Elephas maximus indicus: one gene and its partners. The protein of the gene in region 4 purifies or fractionates together with the protein of the main gene of each other region. This does not show direct contact. Links are inferred from orthologs where the notes say so. Each region holds a gene or a part of one and is shown on either strand. Other genes may lie near its edges. The genes, in order: LATS1, PALS1, MPDZ and AMOT.

Evidence for each region.
Region 1: the proteins of AMOT (region 4) and LATS1 purify together in Homo sapiens (affinity purification with western blotting; 3 studies listed by BioGRID and IntAct, with this or other methods). This does not show direct contact. The link is inferred for Elephas maximus indicus from reciprocal best matches to the Homo sapiens genes AMOT and LATS1.
Region 2: the proteins of AMOT (region 4) and PALS1 purify together in Homo sapiens (affinity purification with mass spectrometry; 6 studies listed by BioGRID and IntAct, counting the BioPlex papers as one, with this or other methods). This does not show direct contact. The link is inferred for Elephas maximus indicus from reciprocal best matches to the Homo sapiens genes AMOT and PALS1.
Region 3: the proteins of AMOT (region 4) and MPDZ purify together in Homo sapiens (affinity purification with mass spectrometry; 4 studies listed by BioGRID and IntAct, with this or other methods). This does not show direct contact. The link is inferred for Elephas maximus indicus from reciprocal best matches to the Homo sapiens genes AMOT and MPDZ.

What each region holds. Positions count from the first base shown.
Region 1 is NC_064819.1:220,991,010-220,998,966, forward strand, and holds the start of LATS1 (serine/threonine-protein kinase LATS1), read right to left. Parts: upstream 3,017-7,957; 5' UTR 2,766-3,016; intron 1-2,765. UniProt on the Homo sapiens protein: Negative regulator of YAP1 in the Hippo signaling pathway that plays a pivotal role in organ size control and tumor suppression by restricting proliferation and promoting apoptosis.
Region 2 is NC_064828.1:79,589,153-79,596,772, reverse strand, and holds the start of PALS1 (protein PALS1), read right to left. Parts: upstream 3,022-7,620; 5' UTR 2,894-3,021; intron 1-2,893. UniProt on the Homo sapiens protein: Plays a role in tight junction biogenesis and in the establishment of cell polarity in epithelial cells.
Region 3 is NC_064827.1:23,295,695-23,303,218, forward strand, and holds the start of MPDZ (multiple PDZ domain protein), read right to left. Parts: upstream 3,029-7,524; 5' UTR 2,969-3,028; coding exon 2,953-2,968; intron 373-2,952; coding exon 206-372; intron 1-205. UniProt on the Homo sapiens protein: Member of the NMDAR signaling complex that may play a role in control of AMPAR potentiation and synaptic plasticity in excitatory synapses. Promotes clustering of HT2RC at the cell surface.
Region 4 is NC_064846.1:44,572,887-44,580,502, reverse strand, and holds the start of AMOT (angiomotin), read right to left. Parts: upstream 3,009-7,616; 5' UTR 2,293-3,008; intron 1-2,292.

The DNA of each region.
Region 1 (7,957 bases), on a different chromosome or scaffold from region 4:
AAAACAAAAACTCATTGCCGTTGAGTCGATTCCGACTCACACTGACCCTATAAGAAGACAGAGAAGAACTGCCCCATAGAGTTTCCAAGCAGCACCTGGTAGATTCGAACTGCCAACCTTTTGGTTAGCAGCCGTAGCTCTTAACCACTATGCCACCAGGGTTTCCGTTCTTCAATACGCCTCAAAGTTATACACTCAATCATAAAGATAATAAAGAGGTTCAAGATAATTAACAAGGGTTTTGAAAAGGAGGATGTCACCACGATGTTATGTGTTAACTACCTGTTTATTCTCCTTGACAGAATCCCTGTGTGGAGCAAACGATTGGTGTTCAGCTGCTAACCAAAAGTTGGAGGTTTGTGTCCACCCAGAGGCACCTCGGAAAAAAAGCCTGGCAATATACTTCTGAAACTGAAAACCCTATGGAGCACAGTTCTACTGACACACATGGGGTCGCCATGAGTCATAATGAACTCAGAAACTAGTAAGAGTTCTTGGGAAAGCTCCTGCAGTATCTCCTCTGGTAGAAATTATACCCATCCTTTGAGGTCCCACTGAAATACCACTTTCTTCAAGAAGCTTTCGTTGAACTCCCAGCTGTTATCCTTCTCCTCAAAACTTCAAATGCACCTTGCATGGTTCAAACAAAACATGTTCTTGCCCTACGTATGTACTTGTCTTACTTTTCCTGCTATGTCACTGATTCAAAGAGAATAAGGTATCTTGGAGATACAAACACACACACAGACATACATGCGTGTGTGTATTTTTTTCAACAGAAAAGGAAATGGATCCACAGAGGGAAAGTGGCCTGCAGAAGGTCACACAGCCAGCTGAATCTTTCCATTACACCTACATTTTGAGTCTCCTTAACAGGTAGGGATCATCTTTGAAGGGGCACTGAAATTGGTTAGGCTAAATGGACTTAAAATCTCCATTTCTTTGAAAGTTTAGACATTTATCAAAAACACAAATATCAGTAAACTGAAACAAATATTGAGTATCTTGACAACACTTAGGGAAAGAACTAATACCATTACATAATAAGATATTCAAGTTTACCTTTGGTTAAACTAGATTTACAAAAAAGATAACCTGTTTCAATGCTTTGAATACATCAGTTGTGAGAATAGCCCACAGTAATAGGTACCGCTACTTAGCTGGAAAAATCTTCATAGTTTTAGTTGTTTAGACAAGAATATTCAAGAAAAGCCTGTGTAATGTTGATAACATTCTCTTCAATTCACTTTCTAAGAATGAACTGTCTGATCAAAAGTGAAAATAATCACTGTATTTTACTTATGTGCTGAAAAATGACTGCCATTTCTTCTTGATAAAAATGTTGTTCAGTGACTAAACAACTTCTGAAGTCTACAAAAACGCTCCACTAATCTAAACAACAATTAAGTAACCAGAGTTTGCTTTCAGACTGTATTATACAGAACAAGGACTAGACTTAAAAACAAAAATAAAAAACTTAAAGTTTAACCTACAGAATGAAGTCCAACTATCATACCCCCAAAAAATGCTGTAACGAAAATGCTGTAGTAGCTTTTTATTTGCTTTAGGAGTGGCACGGCACAGTCTATCAATATGCACGCACAGAAAGAATGTGCCTTCTCCACCATGTGCCACGATCTACTTTCTTGCAGTCACAGCCGATCAAAACACAATGCTACCTCTTTAACAGTTAGATTCCCCCACTGACTTAGGCAATCAACTAGCCCATTTTACCTGTTAACTTATTAAAGGAAAGAAATAACCTTGGTAAGGACAGCTACAAATGTCAGTACCTTAGCAAAGAATACTAATTCCAATTATAACATCCCACCTTTTCTTCCTTCTAGAGGAAAACTGATTAAAAAAAAAAAATTACTCTTCATAAATAATCCATAGTGGCCTGGCAAACTCCATGATCTCAAGTATTCAAATGTATTTCCAAAGATGAAGTGATACAATATGATTTTTTTTGTGTGAGACTATGCTTCTCACTAAATTTATGAATGAACTTCTAGACGAAGATAAATATTTTAAGCCATATTAAGATATGAAAAAGACAAACATTAAACTTGGTCCCTTAAATAATGACTTTCAATTGGAGAAGAGAGAGTATGGGGTTAAATCAAGTCACCTGAGAGTTATTCTATGAGCTACAAGCTCTCTTCGAAAATATGCAATGTTCCTTTTACTTTCTTTCCATCATCTTCTGTGTTTATATACACACTTCTTCATAAACACTCTTCCATCTCTCTCACCACTTCCAACTATGAACAGTAACCACATTACAGTGGACTGGAAATAGATAATAGAATTTCTTCAATGTATACACAGATCGGGTGCTTCTGGGATCCAAAGAACTGCACCTCTCCCACTGCTAGTTTCTCTCGGAGCCACCTTCGGCTCTCCTCCCCTGCCAGACACCGCTGACTCGCGTGTTGGGGGTGGGGTGGCGGGGAAACGGTCGGCGCAAGGCCGCCAGGGAGGCAGACTCTTCCCAGCTTAACCTGCACCTCCGAGCCCGAAAAGCTTGGGGCTCTTCCTCCAGTGCTGGGCGCGGCCAACACACGCTTCCCCAGGGCACGGCTCAGCTCAGGTCAACGCTTCCAGCCCAGATAGGCCCGGCCCCGGCCGGCTCAGCCCGCCCGTCCGCAGCAGCCCCTGGACCCCCGCCAGCGAGGATGGGCGTGGGCCCCGGTGGCCACCGCCCGCCAACCCTGGCTCCCGAAAAGAGTGGGCCCCACCCGCTACGCCCGCCGCGGACCTACCTGCAGGGGAGAGCGGGGCTCCTGGACTGCGGCCACGGGCCCGAGAGCGGGCGCCGAGGAGGCCGGAGCCCGTACCAGGGACCCCAAGTATCCCTGGCTGGGCAGGGCAGGGAGAAGCGCTGGGGGGCTGCCGCGGGCCAGCGCGGCTGGTCGCGGGGGTCGCGGGGACCTGGCTCTCCCCTTAGCACCAGGCCACCGCCGCTGCCGCCATTTTGCCTTCCACTCCGTGTCGCCGCCGCAGCGCTCCGCGGCAGGTTTCCCGGATGTGGGCATTTCCCGGCGTCGCTTGCGCGGGGGCCGAGGACTGGGGGCTTCTGCCCGCCCGGCGGCCGGGAGCGAGCGCGCTGCCTGCGGCCTCCCGCGCGCGACTTCCGCCGGCACCTCTGGGTGTTGGTGTCAGCCGCGTCGCTCCCGCGTTTCGCTGCCCAGATGACACACGCTCCGTTAGTGGAGTCGGGCTCTTCCCCACCCAAGCCCACTCCTGGATTTCATTCTCTTTCTTTCAATTGAGCTTTTGCTCTGAACGGGTATAGAATAAAGATACGCGTGTCCAGGAGCTTAATTCTCAGAAGGGAACAGCAACGAGTCGCTCTCTGGTACCTCGCGGTGGCCATCAGATACAGGATTTCTAGAGGCTTGGAAGTAAACTTTGATGCTTGCTTAATGCTCTTTCCCCGAGTAAGTCTGTGAGCGAAAGCATATATGTATTCTCCGAACAAGCCAAATAACACGTTCCTAGAGCCGGGACAGATTAATAAACATATTTTAGAGACCTTTATCTGCCACCAGTATCAGTACAAGAGGAGGTCATTATTGTCCTAATAGGAATAACAGTGACCAGTGGTGAGAAGTTTTATTTCCTGTTAAGTTGAATCGGAAGCTTGGAATGGGATCGTTGGAGGTACCCTCCATCCTTTGTAAGGAAGCACTTTGCCAGTTCTGCCTCTAGAAAATAAATAGTTAGCATTTTCAAGTACCTCCTTTCATCATTTTTCTACTAAAGGCTAACTAAAAAAAAAAAAAAAAATTTTTTTTTTAATTGAAGGCTTCTTTTTCTGATGTTATATGAATGACTGGCCAGTGTATCCGGAAGTTCAAATGAGGAAACCTTTGTTGAAAGAAAAGATTACATTCCAAGAGCCCTTCTAAACTGTAAGCTCCATGAAGGTAGGAATATCTGTTCTGCAGATTGCTCTCTTCTTAGCACCAATTACAGCCTGACAAATGGTAGATCTTCAGTAGATATTCAACTGAAATCTGAATTCAGTTTTAAATGGCGAAAAAATATTTCCACGGTTATCACAACCTAGACATCTGTATCTACATTGTTGGTCGCAATATTTATCTTTCTTTAAATACTTTTATCCCTGTTATCTTACAGTATCTTTTGTAGCTATTGTCAGTGCCTCAGTTTTTTTTGAAGTTACCTGTTCACCAAATCTTGACCTCATTGTCTTGTGTAAGTATAGCTGCCAGCTCTTGCCTGCCCTCTATATTTGGGTCTCTACCTCTCCATTCCCAAGTTCTTTGTCCGGTGCCCCCATGTCCAGTGTTCTAGATTACTACTTTTGCTGTCTGCTCTGCCTGAATAATCACCCATAAACTTCTGCATGTTGGCCTCATGCCCACTGTTGACCCCCTGACTTGCTGCTCTTTGTCTGCATGATAGTCATAGCAGCTAACCTTTATTGGTAGCTTTCTACATACTAGCCACAAAGCTCAGCACTTTCACATAGCAATTAAATGAGGAAACCCAGACATGAGTTCAGGCAGTCTGACTCCAGTGCCAACTCCAGTGCCTCCTAACCACCTTTCTGTACTGCTGCAACTTCTAATCTGAGCTTTTCTCTTTGCTTGCATGGTCCACAGTAACCTTGTTTTCCTTATTGGCTATGAACTATACCTCTTTGCCAGACCCTGCTGCTGTCCTCCCTTGATTCTCTCTCTCTCTCTCTTTTTTTTTTTTTATCTCTAGTTCCCCTTAACCTGTCTCTTCACCATCCAAGTCTTGGCTTTGACGTTTACTACTCTATCTCACTTTATTTTTAAATAGGTAATACATTCAAGTGGAACAAAGTAGCAAAAAAAAAAAAAAAAAAAAAGGAGAAACAGTGAAACCTTCAATCCCTGTCTACCCAACCTGCCTGTTCCCGTCCTTGGAGGCAGTGTTACTGCCAGTTCTTGTGCATCCTTCCAGAGATGCTATGCACATACATACAAGTACAGTTACGTTCTTTTCTTCCCTTCCTTTTCCCCCCTTATACATACTGTTCTGTGACATGCTTTATTTGTTTTATATTTGTTTAATTATATATCTTGGCAATCATTCCCCTTTGTTATATAAAGAGGTTCTTCATCTAGTTGTTGTTGTTAGGTGACCCCATGTAATAAAGTAGAACTGTCCCATAGGCTTTTCCTGATTGTGATCTTTATGGGAGCAGATCCTCAGGTCTTTCTCCCACAGAGCAGCTGGATGGGTTCAAACTGTTAACCTTTAAGTCCACAGCTGAGTGGAGTGCTTAACTATCGGGCCACCAGGGCTCCTACTTTTTTTGTCTGTATATGCTCACCTCTTGATTGTTATGGTGTCTTCTAGGTGAAATTTTATAAATCAGAGATGGCATCTGTGGTTGGTCCATATCTAAGGGCTATTTCTCTGGGTGCGAACTATCATGGTTTCCATATACAATAAGTCCCTGGGTTAGAAACATCTGACTTATGGATAGCTCATACTTGCCCTCTAATGTTATATAAATTTGTCCCCACTTTGAACAATGGAACCAACTCCTACTGGCAGCAAACTCATCACAATCACGTTCCTTTGCTGTGAGTGCAGCTTTTACATCACTGAAAAAGGTTCAAGCCTTTTCTTGCACTAACCAAAACCGAAAACCCATTGGCATCCAGTTGATTCCAACTCATACCAATCATATAGGACAGAGTAGAACTGCCCCCTAGGGTTTCCAAGGAGTGCCTGGTGGATTCAAACTGCTGACCTTTTGTTTAGCAGCCGTAGCTCTTAACCGCTACGCCACCAGGGTTTCCTTTGCACTAAAATAAGGCTAAATAAGAACCATATGCACCTATTCTGAGTTACCCACAAATTAAAGACTTAAAGACACACTTGGGAATGGATCTTGTTCATAACCTGGGGTCTGCCTCTATTGTAATTTAATCTGGAATTTAAAATTAGCTGCCAGCTCTCCAAATTTGTTTCATTCTTTATATTTGATCCAGATCACCACTTCACTATAGTAAAATAAATTAGGATCCATTTCTTTCAAAAAAAGAATACTTTTACTGTACCTGTTGGGTACACAAATCCATGATTAACACTGTGGAGAGATTAAAATGAAGACACCGTCTGTTGTGTAACAACCCAGTGGCACCTGAACCCAAGGTCAGCTGCATCTCCAGGAGACCAAAGAAAGGCTCCAGAACCAGTGATCACAACATATGGTTTATAACGGGACCATGGCTCAGGGCAGCGGCTAGACCAGTTTAGTGCTCCACAACTGCATAGCAAAGGACATAAGCTTATATACCATTCCAGCTGGGACCAAGGCTCATTGTTTTCTCCCACATCCTTGGGAAGCCAGTGTTCCCAGGGACTTCACTTCCAGGCCCAGATGTTTTCCTCCTTGTCGCTAAGGTGTTCCTTGGCCTTGGCCACCGGCCCAGTCACATCACTCCCAGCCTTGTACCTCAGCCCAAGTCTATCCAGAGTTTATCCCCAGCATGCTTCAGGGAAGAGCAAAACTGACTCCATTAGGAGGGAATGCATATAGCTGAATGGCATTACACTACACCATCTCTGTCCTTTTGAAGTATATAATACAGTTGGGGAACAATGTAAGCATTACATTGACTCTAGAAGTTGCATTTATGTAACATTTTATTCATGGCACAGTCTAGTGCAGGCATTCTCCACTGGCTGCCATTTTGGTCATTAGATGCCATCAAGGTAGGAATGAAAGCTGAGGAGATGGAATTTTGACAGATTCTTCAAGAAGTCTGGAAGTTAACAGAAGGGGGTGGATAGGATGTAGGTGGAGAATTGGAGGATGGTTTTGTTTTTTGCTTATTCTTTACATCAGGGAGACTTCAGTATGTTTTCCATAGTTTGGGAGGAAGGAGGCACAACACATACAATATTGGCAACAGGTATTGTTTTTTTCTCCCTTAATTCTTCCTGTTAGGGATGTATCAATTTTTTCAAAGAACCAACTTTAGGCTTTTCTTCTGTTTGTTTTTGGTTTCACTGATTTCTTCACTTTATTTCCTACAGCTTTGGGCTTAATTTCTCTTTTCCTAGGTTTTTAGGGTAGAAACTTAGGTAATTGATAGTAAGCCTTTTTAATTTTCTAATATAGGGATTCAAAGCTATAAGTTCCCCTCTAAGCACTGCTTTAGCTACATCTCACAAATTTTGACAGGTTTTTATTTTTAGTAAGATGTATTTTCATATTTCTCTTGGTATCTTGTTTGCACCAGACTTGCGTTATTTATCACAGCATTTTATGGAGGCAGGACTTTTGCCTCATGATGATGTGTCTTAAGACAGTCTCCATGGATACAATGTACCTAAAAATGGGAACTTTTTGGATATATGTGCTAAATGGGGTTGATAATGAGGTGTCAGGGAGCTATCTTTTCAGGCCGATTTTGAAAAAAGAGAACATGGGATTGGCAGGTGAGTGAGCAAGCTGTATGTAGAAGAAACTATGGATGAACTTGATGGGAGCAAAGAGTCCACATTTGGCATAACAAAAACGTTGATTAGGACAATGCTTGCTGTCGGTAGACAATAAATTAGGAGAAGGCTGCTTAGGAGATTTATTGCAACATCAGGAGAGCAGGTATGACTTTTTTTTTTTAATAAACTTTATTTCTTAGGACAGTTTTGAATTTACAGAAGAATTGTGTCTATAGTACAGAGTTCCCATATACTCCACCCTTAGGCTCCCCCTTGTTAATCTCTTACATGAGTATGGTTACAATTAAGGAACCAATACTGACACATTTTTATTAACCAAAGTCCATACTTCAGTTAAATTTCCTTAAGTTTTTGCTTAATGTCCTTTTTCCGATCCAGAATTCTATCCAGGATGTCACATTACACTTAGTCATTGTGTCTCCTTAGGCTCCTCTTGGCTGTGAGTTTCTCAGACCTCCCTTCTTTTTGATTATCT
Region 2 (7,620 bases), on a different chromosome or scaffold from region 4:
CCACTTCTAGCTAGAGGCTTACCCAAGAGAAATGAAAATTTATGTTCACACAAAAACCTGCTGATAAAGATTTACAACAGCTTTATTCATAATCACAAAAAACTAAAAATAGCTCAAATGTCCTTAAATTGGTGAATGGATGAACAAACTGTGGTACATCCATACAGTGGAATGCTATTAAAAAAAAAAAAAAACCCAAACCCATTGCCGTCAATTCTGACTCATAGCAATACTATATTCACCAGTAAAACAGAAAAAACTGCTGTTACACTCAACAATGTGGATGAATCTCAAATGTATAATGCTAAGTGAAAGAAACCAGATTTAAAAGGTTATATACTGTATGATTCCATTTACATGATATTCTAGAAAAGATACAACTACAGGGAAGACAACAGATCATTGGTTACCAGGGGCTAGCAGGGAAGAGGAAGGTTGACTACAAAAGGGCAGCACGAGAGAATTTTGGGTGGTGGGACTCTTCTGTGTCTTGATCGTGATGGTTGCACAGCTTTATACATTTGTCAAGATAACTGTACACCAGAAGGAGTTTATTTTATTTCATATAAATTAAGGACAATGTTAAAATCCTTTAAAAGGAGGGAAACAAAATACACTTCTCACCCACAAGTGGCAGATACTTTTAAAATCTAATAATGCCTAATGTGGGCAAGGATGAGAAAGCACTGAGACTCAAATTGTTGGCAGGTATGTAAACTGGTACAATTTTAGAAGGTACTTTGTATATAACTAGTAAAGCTGAAAATGCATATCAACCTATGACTCAGTATTTCTTCTTACAGGTAGGTATACATCTAGGGAAATCTTCGTACATGTGCTAAAGGTGACATGCACAAGAATATTCATTAAACATGGTTTGAAAAATTGAAAACAACTCTTCAGTAGGGGAATGAACAAACTGTAATTAGTGGTTATTAAAAAAAAGAAGAAAAATTTGAATAAGGGAAAGCAACCTCACCGATTTCATGTAATGATTTTGAGAAAGGTAACTTAGTGGTTTGTTCACTTATAGTAATAGAATATAGCGAAAAGAGCACTGGACTTGGAATCTGGAGACAAGTAGTTTAGCATTTACTTCCAACTATGCCACTAACTGGGCTGGGTATGCCACTAACTTAAGAGTCAGACTATGGGCTACTCAATTGCTACAAGCCTCACTTTTCCCTGACAAATAAGATAGGTAACAAAGTCACTAAGATTATTTCCAACTCAATGATCCTATGATTCAATAAGTGTACACTGTAATCAAAAATTATATTCCAGAGCACTTATCCATATTGAGGAACAATTTTTCCCAAAACCCCCCAAATCAGAAATCAGAGAAATAGGGCAACTTAGTATACCAATACATAAATGGACCAAATTTCTTGGAATATGTGTGATGAGGTTTTAAATAAAGACCATAATTCACGAAGAGCATATAAATAAACATTACTAGACCACATCAGCTAAACCGACTATACTGACTTGAGTCACCCTCAGGTGGACTGGTACATCTCTCCCTTTTTAATGTTCTGTAACAAGCTGAATTATGAATGCCTTTCCCTTTACTTGTCAACTTTAAGTTTGGCTAGCCGAAAGTCACTCAAGTACAGTGTTTAAGATTTATGCAATTTTTTTACAAAGATAAAATGAGGAATTGCTTTTCATACTTTTGCCTGTTTTATTTCTGAAGCTCTTACATTATTACTAATAGCTTCAGTCTAATACAATAGCCTTTTGAAATTTATGACATGCTATGTCCACAGGGATCTAGTTCATAATCCATGAAGTATGAATAACTTTTATTACCACCAACTTATATTTCAAAGACACCAATAACCAGTATTTCATTTGTGCCTACTGCAGAATTTAATAGGTAATTAACTTCTGGTATAATCCAAAGGCATAATTAGAATACAATTATTAATATCACTATGAGTCGGAGTCGACTGGACGGCAACTTTTTAATAATCATTAATATCAGAAATATTAACAGCTTGTCAGTCAACTTAAAATTTCAAAATTCTTATTCACAAGTTTTCCAAATGGAAATTCTTAACAATTCTAAACGAATATGGAGACAAAACACACACAACTACATACTCCTTCTAAAAACCTTCTGGTGATCAGATTTTAATTTTAGCGTAAACCGCCAAGAAAAATCTTTCGACCGAAACCTAAATTCCGTACTCATTACTGTACGTCGCATCAACTGAACAGGTGAGTTGTTATTAGGAAGTTACATAATTTGCTGCAAAAACCGAAACGCCTTTCATTGAAACGTAGCTTACAATCTCCAGCTTCAACGTTCACTTTGCAATCTCCAAGTATCAGAAACCATTAACCATTAGGCTCTTTAAAAAAAAGGGGTCACAAGGAAGCAAGAAGCTCTTTATTTGTTGAAAGAACGCAATGAGCAGCGGAATACCGGGAGCTGAGTCAGGCAGGGGAACGCATTCGGCCTTTTAAAGTGTTCCCCCCACCCCCACTCCCTGCCGACATCCCCTACCCGGCCAGAAGGGAGTCGCGAGCTCAGAGGCTGGAACGCAAAGGGCAGGCGATACCCGGCGCGTTCCTGCAAGCCGGGCCTGGCCGACAGGAGCCCCCGCCAAGGTGCGTCCCTTCGCCAGCCAGGACAGAAGGAACGGGTACTGCGCAGGCAGCGTTCCTCCGAGGGACAAAGGTTAGCCTCACGCCCTCGGCGGCCGCGGCTCCCGCTGCCTGGGGCAGTCCACAGAGCAGCCCCGGGTCCCTCCCCGGCGGAGCGCGCGGCGCGCGGGGGGCACAGGGTCCCGGCCGCCGCGGCTCCCGACCGCCCCTCCCCCGCCGCGCTCCCGGGAACCTGTTGATTAAGATCGCCACACCGAGCTGCGCCCCGTCTGCCTCTTACCTTCGCGCCACGGCCGCCGTAGATCCTCCCGCCCCAGCCGCTCCTAAGCACTGCAGAAGCGACGGCCCTCCGGCAGCCCTTGAAATATCGCATAAAGAATCCAGAAACTCCCGATTCCCCACCTCGCAATCCTTAGTCCCCGCCCCCGCCCCGCCGCCAGCCTCCTCCGTCGCCGCCGTCGCCACAGCCGCCAGCGGCTCCACCTCGAGACCGCGCGAGACCGGCCCCCGCGGCTTCCGCGAGACCGCGCACGCGCCCCCGGCACTCTGGCGAAGCGGACGCGCCTATCCCAGTGCCTCCCCAGTGCGCCCCGCCCACTGCTCCGCAGAGAGGCTGGCGCGGTTCGTCCAATCCTGAGACGGCGGGGAGAAAGTGCCTGCTCATTGGCCCTCTCTGCAGCTCCCGAGCGGCCGGTCGCGCGCACTCGCGCGCCTCTCAATATAAAATGCTAGCTGCTTCAGGCCCGCAGGCATCAGGCAGTTGCTTTGATTTAAGCCTGCAGTTTAGGCTGCATGGGGACGCAAGGGTACCTGAGCCAACCAAGCTCATGTTCTACAGCCCTTGGCGCTTCTTTCCTTCGATGATCGTCACCTACTGAAGAAAATCTGATTTCCCTCTGAGGTGACTGCTTGTTCTGTCAAGCACATGACATAATCTAACATTTGTTTCAGAAATAAGCCATGGCCTGATTAAAAATCTGGTGTGTGTAGTGTCCTACAGAAACATCCTCTACTACCGCAGAAGACTCCAAAAAGCTATCAGCTGGACACAGTTTTCTGAAAACCTGAAAGAAAGAATTCCTAGGACCAAAATCTTGCTTTTGGAATGGATTTAGAGTTACCTAGGCCAACGCCTGAATACTTCTGTTTTGGAAGAAGTACAGCCAGAATGCTTCTTAGAAGCAAGGATGGCAAGACTTTGTCTCATATACTTTGGACATGTTATCAGGAGGGACCAGTCCCTGGAGAAGGACATCATGCTTGGTAGAGTAGAGGGTCAGTGACAAAGAGGAAGACCGGCAACGAGATCAACTGACATAGTGGGTGCAACAATGGGCTCCAACAAAGCAGTGGTTGAGAGAATGATACAGGACCAGGCAGTGTTTTGTTCTGTTGTACTTGAGGTTGCTATGAGTCGGAACCAACTTGACAGCACCTAACAACAACAAGCCAACCCATGTGCAACACAAGGCTGGTCCACTCAGGACCTGTTTATGTTCCCTTCTGAATAGGGCAGAATTCTGGGAGTGAGTTCCATAGGGCAAGAAATTCAAAGCAGATTGAAATGCATTCTAACCATTTTATAGAAGCCTGATCAAAAGAAGGAAAGTACAAAACAGAAATTCAAATTTTCGTGGACTCCGGACTTCCTGGAGCCATGAATGTTGAATGAACCCCTGAAACTATTGCCTAATGTAATCTTTGAGCCTTGGATCAAAGATACACCCTGGGGCCTTCTTGGAACCAAACAATAGTTTAGCTTATCTAATGAAAGATATCTGCCTTGAGCATTGTGCTCTTTTAAGAACTACCTATGGAAACAAATTGACAACAGCAACCTGAAAGATTGGATGGGAAGCTTAGGGGGCAGTAAGTTTGTGTTAATGGAGGAGCAATTCTCCAGGGGAGTGGTTGCACAGGTCAAGGAGTGTGATCAGTGTCACCGGATGGTGCGCGTGGAGGCTGTTGAATTGGTGTATGTTTTGCTGTGTATATTCTCAACAACAAAATAATTTTTTTTTTAATGCATTCTAACTAGAAATAACAGCAAATTTACCTCAACACTTATAATAAATCCATTGTATGGTCTCTGCTTTGACAGTAAGCAAGAACTCTGTGTTCCAAGGCGCCGTGCCCCACTCTTGAACGGTTCTAATATTTACTAATTAACCTTTCTGTTAGGCTGAAATCTGCCTTTCTGTCACTTCTGCCTATTGATGCTAGTTTCTCCCAGAGGCATGCTTATTGTATTTAGCCACATCTTCCTCAAAGCACTTCTGTTATGTCAATTATCATGTCCTTCCTCTTTTCCTCTCATTTTCCCATCTTCAGTCGCAATATCCCCAGGTCTGTACTTGCAAGTTCTTTCACCTTCTTCTAACTCTCCTCTGGACATCTATGGGTGAACTGTGGTGCCCTCGACTAAGCAAATCACTTTTCCAGGTGGCCAAGATCTCTTTGGATCCCTACCCTTCCTAGAGTTTTTTTTTTTTTTTTTTTTATCATCCTCGTATCTGATCAGCATTCCATCCAAGTCTTTATCCCAGTCATTTATAAGTGTTTAATAAGACAGGGATGAGGATGGGACTCTGCAGGACGTCACTAGAGCTCTTAATCCTCCTGCCATCAAATGTTTATCGGTAGACTCTGAGTACAGACAATCAGCTGCAAACCTACCTGAGCTGTCTTCCTGCCATTTTCCTCCACGGAGATACCATGAGAATTTGTGAAATGTACAACCGAAATCCAGATAAGCAGTCTCCAGGATTCCCTAGAAACTGTTACTCATCCCCAAAAAGGAAAAATGGTTAGCATGGTATGACTTATTTCCTTTCTAAGTTCTTAAATGCATAAAATAAATAATAATTCAGGGAGCTTCCTCTAACTGAGCATTTCTCAACCTCGGCAGTATGGGCCTTTGGAGCTGGATAATTCTTTGTGGTGGGGGGCTGTCCTGTGCATGGTAGAATGTTGAGCAGCATTGCAGACCTCTCTCCATTAGAGGCCAGTAGGCCTGCTCCACTGCCAGTTGTGACAATAAAAAATGTCTCCAGACTTTGCCAAAGGTTCCCTGGTGGGGCAAAATCACTTCCAGTTAAGAACCACTGATATCTAGCTATTCAATGAATTGACCTCTAAAGAGAGTATTTCAAACCCATACCTTCTAATTACCTGGCCTCAGGCAGTACAGGTAGTCCCCGTCATAACAATGATATTCGAGTTACAAAGAATCTCACTTATTTTTTTTTAATGATTTGTTTAATATTTTATGTACACACGAATATATTAAAATATGTCTGTAAGTTTATATGTAATGTTTCCAACCCTCAAAGAGAAATAAAGATTGGATTTATAAAGATACTGACAATAAAAGGCAATAATAATGAAAAAATTTTTTAAATGAGGCATTCGACTTAGAACTAACATGACAGAGTCACTGGAACTGAAACCCATTTTAAGTCAGGGACTACCTGTATGCAAAACATCCCCGTTCAAATGAACCCTTCAGGTACCGAGCCCTTGCTCCCCTAGCTGCTCAGATCCCTCTGTCACAGAACCTCATCCTGGAAAAATTATGATTACTATCAGTTTGAGGTAGCAGCCACTGCTCTCAAAATATGTGGGAATTCCTTTGTGAAGTGTTATACGGATGTTTATTATTATTATTATCTCCTAAAAGTATTTTCATTTTAATAGAGGGCAGTAAACCCTATGGCAAATAAGGAATCTACTCTCTCATAAATTGAGACATTCTCAATTTCCAAATGACACAAATTACTGGTCTTGTTGAAGGGAAAAAAAAAAAGAAGGGTAACTAAAAGAGTAGAAAGTATAGAAACTGGAGGCAAGGTGATTGAATGTGAGCTTTAGCTTTGCTGAGAAGTAGTTCTGTAATTTGGATGCATGACAAGCTTCTTGGGCCTAAATTTTCTCATCTATAATGTAAGGAAGTTAACTACTAAGTAGTTTTTTCTAGATTCTGGTAGCCTTTGCATATGGTGTCTAACGTGAATACTATATCCATTGCTGTTAAGTTGATTCCAACTCATATTGACCCCATAGGACAGAGCGGAACTGCCCCCATGGGGTTTACAAAGCTGTAATCTTTATGGAAGGAGCCCTGGTGGTGCAGTGGTTAAGCACTGGGCTGCTAACCAAAAGATTGGCAGTTTGGACCCACCAGTTCCTCTGAGGAGGAAAGCATTCCATAAAGATTAAACCCTCGAAAACCCTATGGGGAAGTTCTACTCTGTCCTGTAGGGTCGCTATGAGTCGGAATCAACTCGACAGCAACTGACTTGGTTTTTTAATCTTTATGGAAGCAAACTGCCACATCTTCCTCCCATGGAGTGGCTGGTAGGTTCGAACCGTTGGGTAGCAGCCAAGTGTTTAACCATTGTGCCATCAGGGCTCCTCATAGATACTATAGGGGTTAAGAAAATATAATATTCATCTTAAAATAGAATGAAATGGGTAATCTGTGGTTTAAAACTGAGTCAGAACAGCTGTTCATCCTTGTCACGAGGCAGTTCACTCACTGAGTCATCCTGGCAAATTTGTAACCAAGTATTAAGGAGGAGGAGTGAAAGCCAAGCTGTAAAGTCAAGTGCACAAGGAGAGAAACCACTGTAAATACTTTTTGTCCTTCCTTATCTTGGCATTTCTTTAACCCATCATCTGCCAATATCCCCTATTACACGTTTATGTAATCAAATGTTGTGCTACTTTATTTCATTAAAGTTTTTAGAAAAACATACTAATATTACATCTGACCTATTTGCAACAGGTCTAAAATCTCACTTTCTAAGACTCTACCATTCACTATTATATATGAAATTTTTAACTAAAGTTATTATGTTCCTTATAGTCCTTTAACTAATGTTATTATAAGGTTTTATCACCTCTATGTACTAGTGAAGTCTAGGTTTTCATAACTAAATACTAGGTTAATTACTTATAATTTTCTGAACCAGATGATCACAGATAACCTAAATCAAAAGAGTAGAT
Region 3 (7,524 bases), on a different chromosome or scaffold from region 4:
ACAACATACAGCAACAACCATGACAAAAATAACTAGGGGGAAAAAGCCACAGTGAAACTGAATGTCTCGTCTGGAGGTTTAAATGACTTCATTAACTATTCATTAACACATATAAAAATCTGCCTTTCAGCAGCAACACACGAGCCCTTCAAAAGATCTCTCTAGGCTGCACCATGAACACCTGCTGGGGAGAATGATACCTTACCTGTTCTTTCAGGTTCTGCACGGAAGTCTGAAGGCTCAGGATTTGGCTGAAGAGCGGGCTCTGCAGGACTGACTTCAGGAGGCTCAGTTTGTCTTCATTGGCCACGTCCCCACGTTCTCGAAGCTTGGCCTGCAAGCGCTCGGCTGCCCGCAGGGCCCGGTTTTTGTCTGTACCGAAGGACAGCATGAGTCAATAGCAGGATTCAAAGGACACGTGTCAAACCTGTGAGAACGCCATATTTGTACAATCCTAAAACCATTCCTGTGCTATCGAGAGCATAAAGTTGACGCAAGGGAGAAAAAGGGGAACCGTCACCCTGGGTGGCGCAAATGGCTAAGTGCTCAACTTCTAACCCAAAGTTTGACGGTTCGAACCCACCCACAAGTGCCCCTCCAAAGGCAAGCCAGGTGATCTGCTTCTGAAAGGTCACAGCCTCGAAAACCCTATGGTGCAGTCTTACCCTGCATACGTGGGGTCACCATGAGTCAGAATGGACTAAACGGTAACTGATTTGGCCACATGTTACTCTAAATATGTCCCTCACACCTTTAAGTCTCTTGTAAGAAAGTTTGTTTGAAAGCAGGGAACTTGGTTTAGCATCTGCCATATGCAAGTAGTTGTAAAGTTCGGAAACTAATTCAGTTGAAATGTACTGGAATTCTAACGTCACCTATCTCAGCTCTTTTATAAAATCTATATAAAGCCAAATGTTCTGTGATCTTGCAAATACTGACATTTTCCCTTTTTTAAATTTTGTATTCAAATATAAGGGAAATTAGAAATATAACTACCTCACCAATAAATTGGTATGGATAATAAAACCCAGTACCGTCGAGTCGATTCCGACTCATAGCGACCCTATAGGGCAGAGTAGAACTGCCCCACAGAGTTTCCAAGGGGCGCCTGGCAGTTTCGAACTGCCAACCCTTCGGTTAGCAGCTGTAGCACTTAAACACTACGCCACCAGGGTTTCCAGGTATGGATAATGTCACTGACACGGCACAATCTCCAAAATATAACAATTTCATATACTATAGGACAAAACATTCTGTAATGAGAATTTGCTTGGAAATACAGCACAATATACATATTGTTTGAAAAAAAACTATTTTTGAAAACTTTAAATGTCTTTCCCCAAAATTAAATAGCATATTAACATATGCATCAAACTAACGCAACCCAAATATCTATTAATCACCTTATGGATCAGGCCCAGGGTTCCACAAGTAAAGGTTTTGAATATGTGTGTCCCTAACAGTCCTAGCATCTTGTAGGCATGCTTTCTCCACAGTGAGTTTCCACCACAAACAATAGTTAAAAGCATCGCCCTAAAACATACACACACACACACACACTTATAAGTGAGACCAGATTTGTTTGAAAAAAAGAGGAGGGGGCTCTATTTAGATACATGTCCTGATAGATTTATAATAACAAGTGCATCTATTAAAATATCTGCCATATCACAGTAAGGGATAAGAGTGGGAATTATCACCAAAGACACTTTCCATAACATGAAATCTGGAGCTACGCAGAAATGGGGAAAACAAAGACACGTATTGATGTTAATGATGAGTTCTCATGCATGTAAATTAAAAGAAAAAAATATTTACTAATACACAAAATTTTAAAAGCCAAAAATGATAAAGATATACATAAGAATTTTATTCTGGGTCATATTTCCCACGGTATCTCAGGATGCAAATCTAATATTAATCCGCATGTCAATTTTGCGGAGGTGTCCAACTCAGTAACAGAATAAAGACTAGAAAGAAATGGTTTAAATAGTTTTATATTTGCCCTCTCCTTTCCACTTCAAGTAACTTTCCTCTGTGGACTAGTATTCTTTATGCTGTATGACTTCAGCATAAAACAAGTGATGAAGGAAATGTGTGTCCCTGCATTTTCATCGCCAGCATGGTATTGGGAACAGAGTCACAGTAACGGTCCCCATGATGACAAAGCCAGCTTCTTCTCCCTTCATTGCCATCTACTCTCACCCTACCCCTCAGCACTTCAGCTATCATGGTACCAGCCGTGACCGTCAAGTTGCCAGAGTGAAATCCATACATCCTGCCATAGTCATAGCTAGAGTTATCTGGAACAGGTGAGGGACTGAGGTGTCACATGATTTTACACACCTGATATACCTGTAACTAATTTCTCTAGAAATTAGTTCCTCTTAAACTAGACAGCAGTGTGGAAAAAAGATTAACACTTGAGCTTGGAAAATTTGGGTGTTTCAACCTAAATTGTCTCATGTAGAAAATAAACTGCCTTAAGTCTTCACTGAAGTTTGTCCACCTGGATGCAGCCTAAGTGACTGTTAGTGTTCTCTTTATCCATTAAAATCAAAAGGCCAGTAGTACTTCACCTGTCACAAACAAAGTAAAATTAAGACATAGGTAATGACCTTCTTCCAGAATTAAAAAATACTGCTGAACTATCTGGTGCTACCCAGGAACAAACTTTAACCAGAACTGTGTTTACATTAAACTTCATTAAAATCCATAACGGAATATCTCATACACTTTTAACTTTTGTTTATAAATGAGTTTTATAACACCTCCGATGAAATTGCCCAGATACAGGCATACACTGCCCAGTACAATGCTGGTGAATACAAACTTTTTTAAAACTAAGTTACTATAGATAGAATCCTGCTATGTAGAACATACCGTATTTCCAAAATCCCTATGGAATGTGTTTCAATTTTTACAAAAGTAGCAGGAAGGAATAGGTCTTACCTATGGTTTCCAACATTTTTTTCAAAGTTCAGTTATCTTCTTTGCGATGATTAAAAACAGCAACTAAAATGGACCACTGAGAATAAAAGAAATAAAGCAAAATTGTTATATTTATCAGAACTTTAAAATTTTATTCTAAAACTAAGTACTCTAAAAAGTACTTGATAACTACTGCAATCCTTTGACCATTAAAAATTTGTTGATTTAACTTTAGATGTTCTTTATAGGGGAAAAAAAAAGTTAATCATTTTAGGGCTTTTTCAAAATGATCTTATAATTATGAATAATACTTGCATAAAAAAGTACAAGGCATATAATCTTTTTTAAATAAGACGGTAGAAGTTTCCAAAGTATTTCCTTAAGAGCTTCTCAATATAGACTGCTATTATCTTGGATTCACTTTTAGAACCTTAACCATACAGTAAGGAGCTTACTGCTGCTTCAGAAATTTTGTGGATGAAAAGATCAAAAATGTAAAAAAAAAGACAATGTAATTCTGCTCTCAAATGCTCCCAGTCTAACTGGGGAGACACAGATAATAATTAGGAAAGAACTGTGACACTCAAGCACTGCATGAACCACTGGAAGATAACACACTAAATCAGGGAAGCGAGCCTTGGTGGCATAGAGGTTAAGAGCTTGGCTGCTAACCAAAAGGTCAGCAGTTCGAAACTACCAGATCATGGAAGAGAAACTGAGTAAAACAGAGTCCAGTGTTAGAGAAGAGGATTTTTCAAAATACCCCCCATGATTATAATATTCTCCTCTTTCCCATTCAAAAATTCTTCTCAGCTCCTACAAACCACACCAGTCTCATCTTTCTCTCTGACATTACTTAACTGAACTCTTTGAAGCATCAGATACTGATCTGCACTGGCAATGGTCGTACCGCTAAGTCCATCTTCCATCTTTGTGGTCCAACAGCTTTCCACACCTGTCTCCATATTAACACTTATCCTTTGCCTTACAGAAAACCGTGAGTCATCAGGAAGTCAGTCTGCCATTACTTCAACAGGAAGAAAAAGAACCTACCACCATATATCCCCATTCTTCATCTGGATGATGAGACAGGGAGAGAACTTCTCCAAAAAGGAACAAGTTACCCCACATTACATATTTAAAAGAGAATATATTTGGGAAAAGGGAAGTACGTAACATATATGAGCAGAGGCACAGAACTTCAATGTATCCATTAGCTCTGTGTAATAATACAGAACAGTATTTACTGACTTTCCTTATCCCAATTTAGAATACACTAATTAAAACATCAAATAGCCAAATGGCTCAACTATTGGCACTTGTTATAGAAAGTGCTTCGCCATCAAGTAAAGATGACTCTGGCTTAGAATTCAAATCTAAATAGCAGTGTGACCTTGACCAAGTGGTCTGCCATCTCAACCTGTTTTATAGATAACAAACTTCCTCACTGGGTATAGTGTGCTAAATGAGTTAAATTATTTCCAGCTCACAGCACAACCCATAACCATAACACATATTCAGGATTAATGCTAAACCCAGATAGGCAGGAATTCCAATGCCAAGCATTGCATGGTTTCATGGGTAGCGTATTATAGGGAGATCTTAAAAATAAATTGGTGATAATCTTATTCACAAGGGGAATATCATATTCCTTTATAAAACATCATACTACTAGATGCCTGCCAAAAATTATTAACTTCTGACAATTAAAAAATAAGATACCCCAATAGAAGGAAGTACAGATCTAGAAAGGTATATTTCATTAAATGGCTCAGGAAGAAGCATGATAGTAGTAATGAAAGAGCATGAACTAGTGAGTCTGAAGACTTGAATTTAAAATTTAAGCTTGACAACTTACTAACTCTATGCCCCCTGTTAAGTCATTTATCTTTTCCTTGAAAATCCTATGGAACAGTTCCATTCTCAACCCATGGGGTCACCACGAGTCAACCCGAAGGCAACAAACAACTGCAACAATCTACAAATGACTATTTATAAAGATCTGAAAGGATACAATTGTATATGAGTACTTGGCATGCACAGTAAAACTTAGCTCTATTCCCTTTCCTCTGTGAAAATTAACTCAGAAAGAGAAGCAGCATTCAGGACTTGGATATGGAGCAGAGGGGGCGGTAGTCTATGGAATCAGAAGCACACTGATTTGTGAGCAGTCTGCAGAGAAAGTACCAGTAGGCAGCGCCCAACTGAGAAAATCACTGTCGTCCAAAAGTTCACCTACAAGTCAGTTATGTCGAAATAGGAATACTTTTTTTTCCCCCCACCAGAGGTGGAAAAAAAAAAAATTCAGCTGCACATCGCTGACATTAGCTCCAAATGAGACCTCCATTCTTCTGGACCCCAGTGACAAAAAATGAAGTTTCACAGTTTGTATTCTCTGCTCTGATGTCCCTAAAATAAATAAATACACAGCTTTCTTGAAGTTTTCCAGAGGATTTTACCATTAGTAACTATGAAAAATAGACAAGATGTAAAGAAAGTCCCTGTCTTGTACCCCCATCTCAAGGATGCAGTTCTAATTACAAACAAAATCCATTTGTAATCACATAATTTTTCAGATGGAGAGATGCTGAGATGTTACATTTCAAGGTACCAAAATTCTCGATACAATGAGAATAAGAATATTCAAACAGCATAAAAATATTAGTTCCCCCTGAGTTAATGTTCATATATATGTATTCTGCTTGTAGCCACACCACTATTTGGTTATAACTGAACCTAAAATCTGTTTCAGTAGGCAGGCACTCAGAGCGACAAAACATGTCAATAATGGCTCTATGTGTTCAGTATCTACTCTTAGGTACCACAATGACAGGCAAGCTCCATTAGCACACACTGCTTCCCAGGAGCAGGAAGCCTGACTGTCTTGTTCCCCACAGTATCTCCCAGTGCCTGGCACATTTTTCTCTCCATTTTCCAGACAAGACAATACAGGAAAGGCAAGGTTGAGGTCTTACTCAACGTGACACAACTAAAAAGTGGGAGAACTTGGATTTGAACCCAACTCCATCTGATTACAAAGCCCTTACTCACTCTAGTATACTACCCTGCATTTTCCATATTGTTACACAAAATCACATAGTGGAAATATATTGTTAAATGAAAAAAATAATAATAAGGTGCAGGACAATAGAAAGTATGCTATCATCTGTATACGAGAAGGGCAGGGGAAATATATTTGTACATCGGAATTAATGTGGACATGTTTGCAAAAGCGTAGACTATTCCTGCAAGTTTTCCCAAAACACTAATAGTTGGGATGTGGGTAACTGGGGGACACTGAGAACTACTTTGCACAATAGTTCTTTCTTTTTTTTTTTTTCTTTAATTTGGTATCTTGGTATAGGAAACCCTGGTGGCATAGTGGTTAAGTGCTACGGCTGCTAAACAAAGGGTCGACAGTTCAAATCCTCCAGGTGCTCCTTGCAAACTCTGTGGGGCAGTTCCACTCTGTCCTATAGGGTCGCTATGAGTCGGAATCGACTAGACAGCACTGGGTTTGGTTTGGGTTTGGATCTTGGTATAGGGTTCCCAGATTTGTCAAATAAAAATATAGAATGCCTGATGAAATCTGCATTTCAGATAAATAGATGTATATTTTTAATACAAGCATGACCCATGCGTTACTTGGGAAATACTTAAGAGTGCAAAATTATTTGTTGTTATCTAGAAGTTAAACTGAAGTGGGCATCTGTGCAGGAAAGGGTTAACTCAGCAGGCCTAGGCTGATCAAACCCTGCATAATTCCAAGGTTTTCAGGACTGGTCCACTGCCCTGCCCCTGAAAGATGACCTAAGCCCTTGCAGTATCCCTGGGGATAAAGTGTCTTTGTATGTGTGAGGCCTCAGGCCACCCCAGATAATTTATGTTAACGAAGTGATTTATGGTGAATGCCTATGTTGGCGGCGCACTGGTTAAGAGCTTGGGAGCTAACCCAAAGGTCAGCAGTTCAAATCCACCAGCAGCTCCTTGGAAACCCTATGGGGCAATTCTACAGGGCTGCTACGAGCTGGAACTGACTTGACCGCCACTGGTTTGGTTCTGAGGCTTTGGCCATGCTGTATCAGTTTGACCTCTGGGGGGCTGGAAAGGATGAATAGCTAAGGTCAGTCACACAGGTGCTGCATGCCTACATGACTGAGACCCCAAGCCCCCCAAAAATAAAAAATGAAAAAACTGACACCAGGCTTAGGTGAGCTTCCCTGGTTAGCAACACTTCACATATGTTGTCAAGCATCGTTACTGAGAGAATTAAGCACTGTCCATGCGACTCCACTAGGAGAGGAAAACTGGAAGCTTGCACCTGGCTTCCTCTGGATTTCTCCCATGAGCCTTTTCCCTTTGCTGGTTTTAGTCTTTATCCTTTTGCTGTAATAAACCGTAACCATAAGTAGAACACCTTTTTGTGAGCTCTGTGAGTCCTTCTACCAGATTACTAAATTTGAGGGTAGTTTTGGGGACCTCTAACACAGCATCCTTTATTCTATCTGGCAACCCTACCTATGTATGTACTAGCTTAGAAAAGAAATTAAATTTTAGAAGTCATTTTAATTTAAAGTGTTTACACTTCTGCTG
Region 4 (7,616 bases):
ATATCCTTTACTCCTCCTCATTGGTACCCACTCCCCAAACAAAAACAAAAAAAAAACTTCTAAGTATTCTGAGAACTTCAGGGAACTTTTTTTTTTGGGGGGGGGAGGAAAAAAAAACTTAAGAGGGGAGTAGGAGAGTGTGAGAAACTCTTCTTGTCTCCAAACGGGAAAAAAGGCCTTAAAAAGCTGGATCAAAGGAAGTAAGGGGGGGTGAGGGAGAAAAAAAAAAGAGCTGCTTAATTACAAAGACACCCTTTTAAAGAAGGCACAGGCCCTGGGAGAGGGCTCTTATGAGAGGCACAGAAGCAGATGTACCCACTTAGAATTCTGGCACTCAACGGAACCTCAAGGTCATAGCATCCATCCCTCTGCCTTCTGATTAGACTGTGCTCAAAGCATTCTAGAAAGTCTGGTTTGTTCTCTACAAAACTCCAGGAAACGCAACTCCACAAAATCCCTTGGTTATGCGTTAGTCTAATATATTCTAATTCATAAACCAGAAATGAGATTGTTCAAATCAAAAGTCGTATTCAATATGAATTTTAAAAATCTCCTTTCTAAAGTCTTTGAAATAGCTAAACAGATCCACTCTATATGTAAGTGTGGTCTGAGATTTATTTCACATCTAGATTACGAAGTTAGAAAAAGTACTTTCAATTTTATGGAGCCACAAATTTTTCCGAAGGAAGAAATTTCTTAAAATGAAATATGATGTAGTGCCAGAAAGTGTCTGTAAATGAAACCAGATAAACCCATACAGAATAGCTGGAACCTGAGTTATCATCTGTAAATAGATGCAACTACTCTACAACCACCTGGCTATTAAAATGTCCCAGGCCAGTTATAAAGTGCAGTTTGGTCAAGCCAGCTCTTCCCTCCCAGCTGATCTGAAACGTGATAGCCTTTAAAATTGTCACCCTGCAAAGTTCCTTCTCTCCCTGCTTTCCTTTCTCTTATTAAAATCAACCAAAGAAATTATTTTAAAATATAAGGAAATAATATGTTCCCAAATAAGCAACGGGTTGGGGACATTTCGGTAATAGATCTTTGAACACCACCATTTTTATAAGCTTGTCATACTTACCCAATTGGAAATAAGTAGGAGATGGGTGAAGTTGTATCCCATGTCGAAAATGGTATTTCAAACTATTCTTAGTTACTAAATGGGGGTGCTCAAAGGACTAACTGAGAAGGCTTCACAAAGGCTGTCCCAAGAAAGAACTTTTCACAAAGCCTAGTTCAAGGAGTCTTACATACCCTTAGCCCTCCAACATTAAAGAATATGGTGACTAATTATCTTCCTTTCTGAATAGAAGAGGATTAATTAATAAAAATTTTTAAACTGCTTCCAAATTTCCACCCTTCATGGGAGGGGAACTGAACTAAAACACCCTAAAGTGTCTTTGTAAAGTATCTACTAGAGATTGGAAATGCTGTTTCTCACAAACCTTTCCTTTTTTTCTCTCATTTAATTGTGTTTAGTCCCTTGTTGCAAATTATTATAATATTACTAGTGGCAATTTACAGGGGACTGCTCACAGTCTACAAAGACTGTCACTTTCCCTAATTTTCCTTCTCTTTATTTTCAAATATTGATGAAGTCCATCTTGCTGTTGAAGCACCTACGCAGTGGCCTGGGCTTGGGACCCTCACGACACCTGCCTGATCCCGAAAAACTAGTTAACCAACATTATTAAACCTTATAAAGCTGATAAGGGGCTACCGCCCCTACCCACCACCAGCGACACACACATACACCAAAAGGAGCGTAGCGTGATAGATTACTCCCAGAATTTAAGACCTCAAGAATTCAACACCCCCCAGCCGGACTTCACTTGCCGCCCATCCCCCGCCTGGAGGAGTGGAGTGTTAGCCCCCATCCCTACCCTAAGCACAGAGGAGAAACTCATCTAGTCATCTGAAATAAGAGCAGATATTCCTGCTGGGCCAAACGTAAATCTCGGTTTCCCTTGAGTCTTTAGTTTCTTATGTGATTAATTGCCTAGAGACCTACAAGGACCCCAGAAGACAAGGAAGTTAAAGAACCATCAAGTTGTGGTACCCACTAGCATCTCCTTGCCGAAGTAGGACGGAAAAGGAGTGCACACTCTTTAATCGATTTAACTTGCTGCACATGCTGGAAAACTCACGGCCAGCTGCAAAGAAAGTAGAGCGCACGGGCATCTCTACAAGCTTCTAGAGCGAATCACTCACGCCGAGGGCACGACCAAGTTCATGCCACCATTAATTCCTGCCCCAGTTCCCCGTAAAAAGTAACCACACTTCTCCTACCCCTGAAGGCAACGAAGACAGGGTGACGGCTCTCTGCTCGCTCAGGTGGCTTCAGTCCCGGGCCAGCGGCCAGGGATGGGCAGGGGGAAGCCCCAACTCCCGGCTGCTCTCCTCCTCACTGCTCCGTCCGGTCTCTCCTTAGTGGCAGTGGACAGGCAGGATACCGGGCCGGAGGGTGGAGCAGCGGATGATCCGAGGCTAGACAGACTCGAGGTGGGAGGGCGGGGGAAGAGAACTAGGGGAAAAGGAGGCGAGGAAAGCAGGGATGGAGGAGTAATTCAAGGGGTCTACCAGCTTGGACAGCCAGAAAGCTTGGACAGCCAGAAAGCTCCTAGGAAGGAAGGGGCGTGACTGCGATGAAGGCAGCTCCTGGGCAAAGGATGGGAGGTAGGGGAGGGGGACGAATGGGTGGCTTTTCTTCTTGCGGTGAGCGGCTAGGACCGCCCAGGAGAGGAGGGGTTGGCGGTGGACTAGGGTAGGAGGCGGAGTAGAGGGCGGGGAAAGAAGGGCGGGAGCCTGACTGGACCCTAGAGGGGGGAGGTGCGGAAGAGAGGCGGGGCCAGGGGGCGGGGAAGTTTCAAACAATTGAACGGCGGGGTCCAGGAGCTCCCGCGAAAGTGGGGGCCTTCGCTCCCGCCCTACTACGAACGTGGCATGGCTTGGTTCCGGGAGTACCGAAAGTCTACGCAAGGAGTGGTTGGGAGGAAGGAAAGGGTTTCGAAAAGACTACAATAATAATCTACGGCACAAGCGGAGCAGAGTCGCGTGGGAGAGCCAGTGCAGCTCTCCGCCCCACAGCGGGAAGCAGAAAAACAAATAATAGAAAAGCTGAGAAGCAGCTTCTGTCAAAGTCAGCTTCAAATAATGCAGGAAGAAGCAGCGCTCCTTCGTTTTCCTTCCCCTCTTGCTTCCTATTACCAGCAGGCCTCCACCCAGGTCACGGTTCTGCGAGACACCCTCCTTTCTTCCTCCGCTCCCCCTAGCCTTCGACCCCTCCCCCACCAAGCGCCTCCGCCCCTCCTTCTGACGGCAGGGGAAAGGTGGGCGGGGCTTGTGGAGCCTCCGCCTCTTGGGCGGGCTGAGAGAACTGGCCTGGGCGGAGCGGATCCAGAGGAGCAAATCCCACCCACCATTCTTTTGCAGCTTCCCGTTGGCGAATCCTACCTTAGCATTCCTTTCCGATTGGTCAATTGAGCCGTCAATCGCTCCTCTGCCTCACCCGCCCTCAAAATTGATAAAACTAAACAAGAAGCTATTGTCTCTCTTCTCCCCCAGCCACTTCTGGGAAAAGAAAGATGAGAAGCTTGATTTCTCAGTCTCTTTTTTTTTTTTTTTTAAAAAGAGTACGACAGTGTATCCGCAGACTGGGGTACACCTCTACGGCACTGTCTAGCACTTAGAATAGTAACTTTTCTTCCTCCTCAATACACCAGGTAGGGAGGGGTAAAACGTACCTGAAGTATCAATGTGGTGTTCATATTTCCGAGCTACGAAAAATTGCTGTTGCTTAAGAACACTGGGATTTGAGAACACCAGCTACCATTTTACAGCTGGGAAAACTAAAGCACCAAGAAACAGCATAGGGATAGCAGAATAACATGGAATTTGGAACCAAGGGAAGAATTCATTTCGGGCTCTGGCACTTATTAGCTAGTTGTTTGCCTTTGTTAAATCGTTTAATTTCCCTATCTGTAAATAAAGGCTATAAGACATGCCCTATTAACTTCCTGGCATTGGTAAGGAAATAAAATGTGTGTGAAAACTCTGTAAACCACAAAGCACTCCACAAATGTATGTGTTCCTACTGTGTACGACACATGGCAGAGAGTCTCTCATATGAGTTTGGGAATCATATTCTGCTCATCTGTTTTAAGCATTTACATCCAAGGTGTGTAGGTTCTGCGGCTTTCTTTTAAAAAATCAACTTTTTTCCTACAGCTTTAAAGGTGGATATGAAATTGGCTCCCTGCAGTTAGAATAATAAATTGCCCCTTTTCTAACCAGGGTGGGTGAGATTTCTTTTTTAAACAGTTCTGCAGTGGCGCCACGACCTAAATCTATTGTGGTGCTGGTACTGAAAGAGGAAATCATGCTGTGTATCTCTGAAGTGAACTTGAAAAAACAAATATGAGGAACATTTACCATGGAAACCACCATTCTCTTCTTGTTGTTGTTAGGTGCCATAGAGTCAGTTCCGACTCATAGTGACTCTGTGTACAACAGAATGAAACTGCCCAGTCCTGTACCATCCTCACAGTCATTGATATGTTTGAGCCCATTGCTGTAGCCACTGTGTCAGTCCATCTAGTTGAGGGTCCTCCTCTTTTTCGTTGACCCTCTTCCTTACCAAGCATGATGTCCTTCTCCAGGGCCTGATCCCTCCTGATAACATATCCAAAGTACATGAGATGAAGTCTCACCATTCTTGCTGCTAAGAAGCATTCTGGCTATACTTCTCCAAGGCAGATTTGTTTGTTCTTCTACCAGCCCACGGTATACTCAATATTCTTCACCAACACCATAATTCAAAGGCATAAATTCTCCAGCCTTCCTTATTCATTGTCCAGTTTTCCCATGTATATGAGGTGATTGAAAATACCATGGCTTGAGTCAGGAGCACCTTAGCCCTCAAAGTGATATCTTTGCTTTTTAACACTTTAAAGAGGGCGGCGGGGCTGGGGCGGGGGGGGAGAGAAAAGGCTGAAAGAAGTAAGGGTATAGGGTTGGTTGAGCATCCCTCATCACTGAAGTTGCAGGATGGGTACATGGGGTCATTAAATGATTCTCTTACTTCTGTTGCATACATTTTAAAATTTCTACACTAAGTTAAAAAAAAATCCTATATTCCTATGGCCTCTCTAAACCAGGCAAAAAGCATGAGTGCTATTCTCCCAAGGTAAATGAAAGCAAAATTACAAACACTTTAAAATAAAATTTTAACACTTTAAAAGAGGTCTTTTGCAGTGGATTTCCCCCATGGAATACAACCTTTGATTTCTTGACTCCTGCTTCCATGGATGTTAATTGTGGATCCTAGTAAAATGAAATTCTTGACAACCTCAATCTTTTCTCCATTTATCATGATGTTGCTCATTGGTCCAGTTGTGAGGATTTTTGTTTTCTTTATGGTGCAATCCATACTGAAGGCTGCATTCTTTGATCTTCATCAGTAAGTGCTTCAAATTCTCTTCGCTTTCAGCAAGCAAGGTTGTGTCAACTGCATACCGCAGGTAGTTAATGAATTTTTCTGGTGCCCCATTCTTCCTCGTCCTTAACGACCAAAAACATTCTGTTGTCAAATGAGTTTGGAAAATGGTGGGCTAAATCAAGGTAACCCTCCTGTTACAGTTGGCTTAAATGGTATGCCAGCCCCCTCTTTTTGGCCCTGGACCTCAGAGGTAAGGCATTATTCCAGTTCTAATGCATTTAACACAATAGAATACAGTTGAAATCATTCTTTATACTTTTTAAAAATTATTTTATTTTATTGCTGTTGAAAAATACACAGCAAAATATATACCAATTCAGCCATTTCTACATGTACAATTCAGTGACGTTAATAGCATTCTTCAAGTTGTGCAACCATTCTCACAGACCTGTTCAGGATTGTTCCTCCTCTATTAACATAAACTGATTGCCCCTTACGCTTCCTATCTAACCTTTGGAGTTATTATTGTCAGTTTGATTTCATAAAGATAGTTCTTTAAAAGAGCACAATGCTCAAGGCAGACATTCTTTACTAATAATTAAGCTAACCTATTGTTTTTTTTTATTGTTTGGTTTGAAGAAGACTTCAGGGGATATTCTTGGTTTAATGTTTAAGATTTCAAGATTATCTGAGGTCCATAGTTAGGGGGTTCATCCTGCCTCGATGAGGCAATTTAGACATTTCCCATCTTTTGCCATTACAAATGATGCTGGGAAGAAAAAAATTCTGGTAGCAAAGATCTGGCAGCTGTTTGTAGTATGCCTGCCCCCAGCCTTAAAGTTGGTTCTCAAAAGACTTTTTCAACTAGTCTTCCCACAGCTACCAGGGCCTCCATACCATGGAAACGCCCGAATCATTTAACTCTTTTATTACCCGCTCCTCAAATCCTGCTAGGGTCATTACTGTTCACCACCAAATTTGAATTTTCACGGCATAAAGTTAGCAGAGCTCTGAAACTTAAAGGTGAATCGGGCCATGTGTGAGTCACTTCTTAGCCTGTGCCAAACAACAGGTTTTTGGTACCTCTGCTTTGCTCAGGTCATTCAAGCGTCTTAGGTGTTCCTTCTCTCCTCCCACACAAGACTTCCTCTTTGTTTTTACCCTGAAAACCCTTCAGTTTGTTTAAACTGAGTTTGAATTTAAAGCTATGCATTGCCTGCTCCACTTTAAGGGGGGTAGGAGGGTGGGGAGGCCAACATCAACAAACATTGATTGAGCTGCTATTATGGACAAGGCTGGAAAAACAAAGAGGTATGAAACTTGGCTCCTTCCTACAAGGATATAGACATAAAAAGATAACTAACAAGAATATGCTAAGTGCTAAATGAATGGTATTGACAGTAAAAGCTGTGGAAGTTGAGAGCAGGGAGAGAAAAACTAGTTCCAGAGAGAGAGTTTATACAGCAAACTATGCCACGCACATTTAACTAATCCCCGCAGCATCTCTGTGTCTTCATAGCCCGAGTAAAATATGAAGAACCCTATAGGGGATACCAGGAGAATTAACCCCTAGCTGTAAAATACTTGTGTAAAGACACTGGGTTACTTAAGTGCTACACAAAAAAAAGCCCCATATACTGATATGGAAAAAAGGAGGATCATTTTAAGCTTGGAAGTCAAGAGTCTCCATCCTGAACTAACTGTCCTGCTTGGCCTTTTTTTTTTTGTCCATAGAGTGCAACTCCTCCTTTAACATGCAATAAAGATCAATCTCTGCCCTTTGCATCCAATATTTTTGCTCAATGTACAGGAAAAGTAGGAAGGAGGACATGGCTTATAGTCTTTCCCCAATCCCTGGCTAGGTTCTTCTTGAAGCAAAGACCATGAAACCATAATGCTTCATACTGAAGGACACTCTTCCCTACCCACCAGGTTGACTGGGAGTGTTAAATGTCCACATCCTCCTCTAATTGTGTGGCGAACAACTAAATCATGTACATGCATTTGCAAACACAAGCAAAGGCAAGAACATACACCAGCGAAAATAAATCCAAAGGATTTGTGTCTCTAAATAACCCTCCCCCTGCCCATAAAACACGCTGCAAATATATCAGACGCACATGAAAAAGCAGCCTTTTCCTGCACACCTCTGAAAGTCAGCCTCCTGTTTATTCAT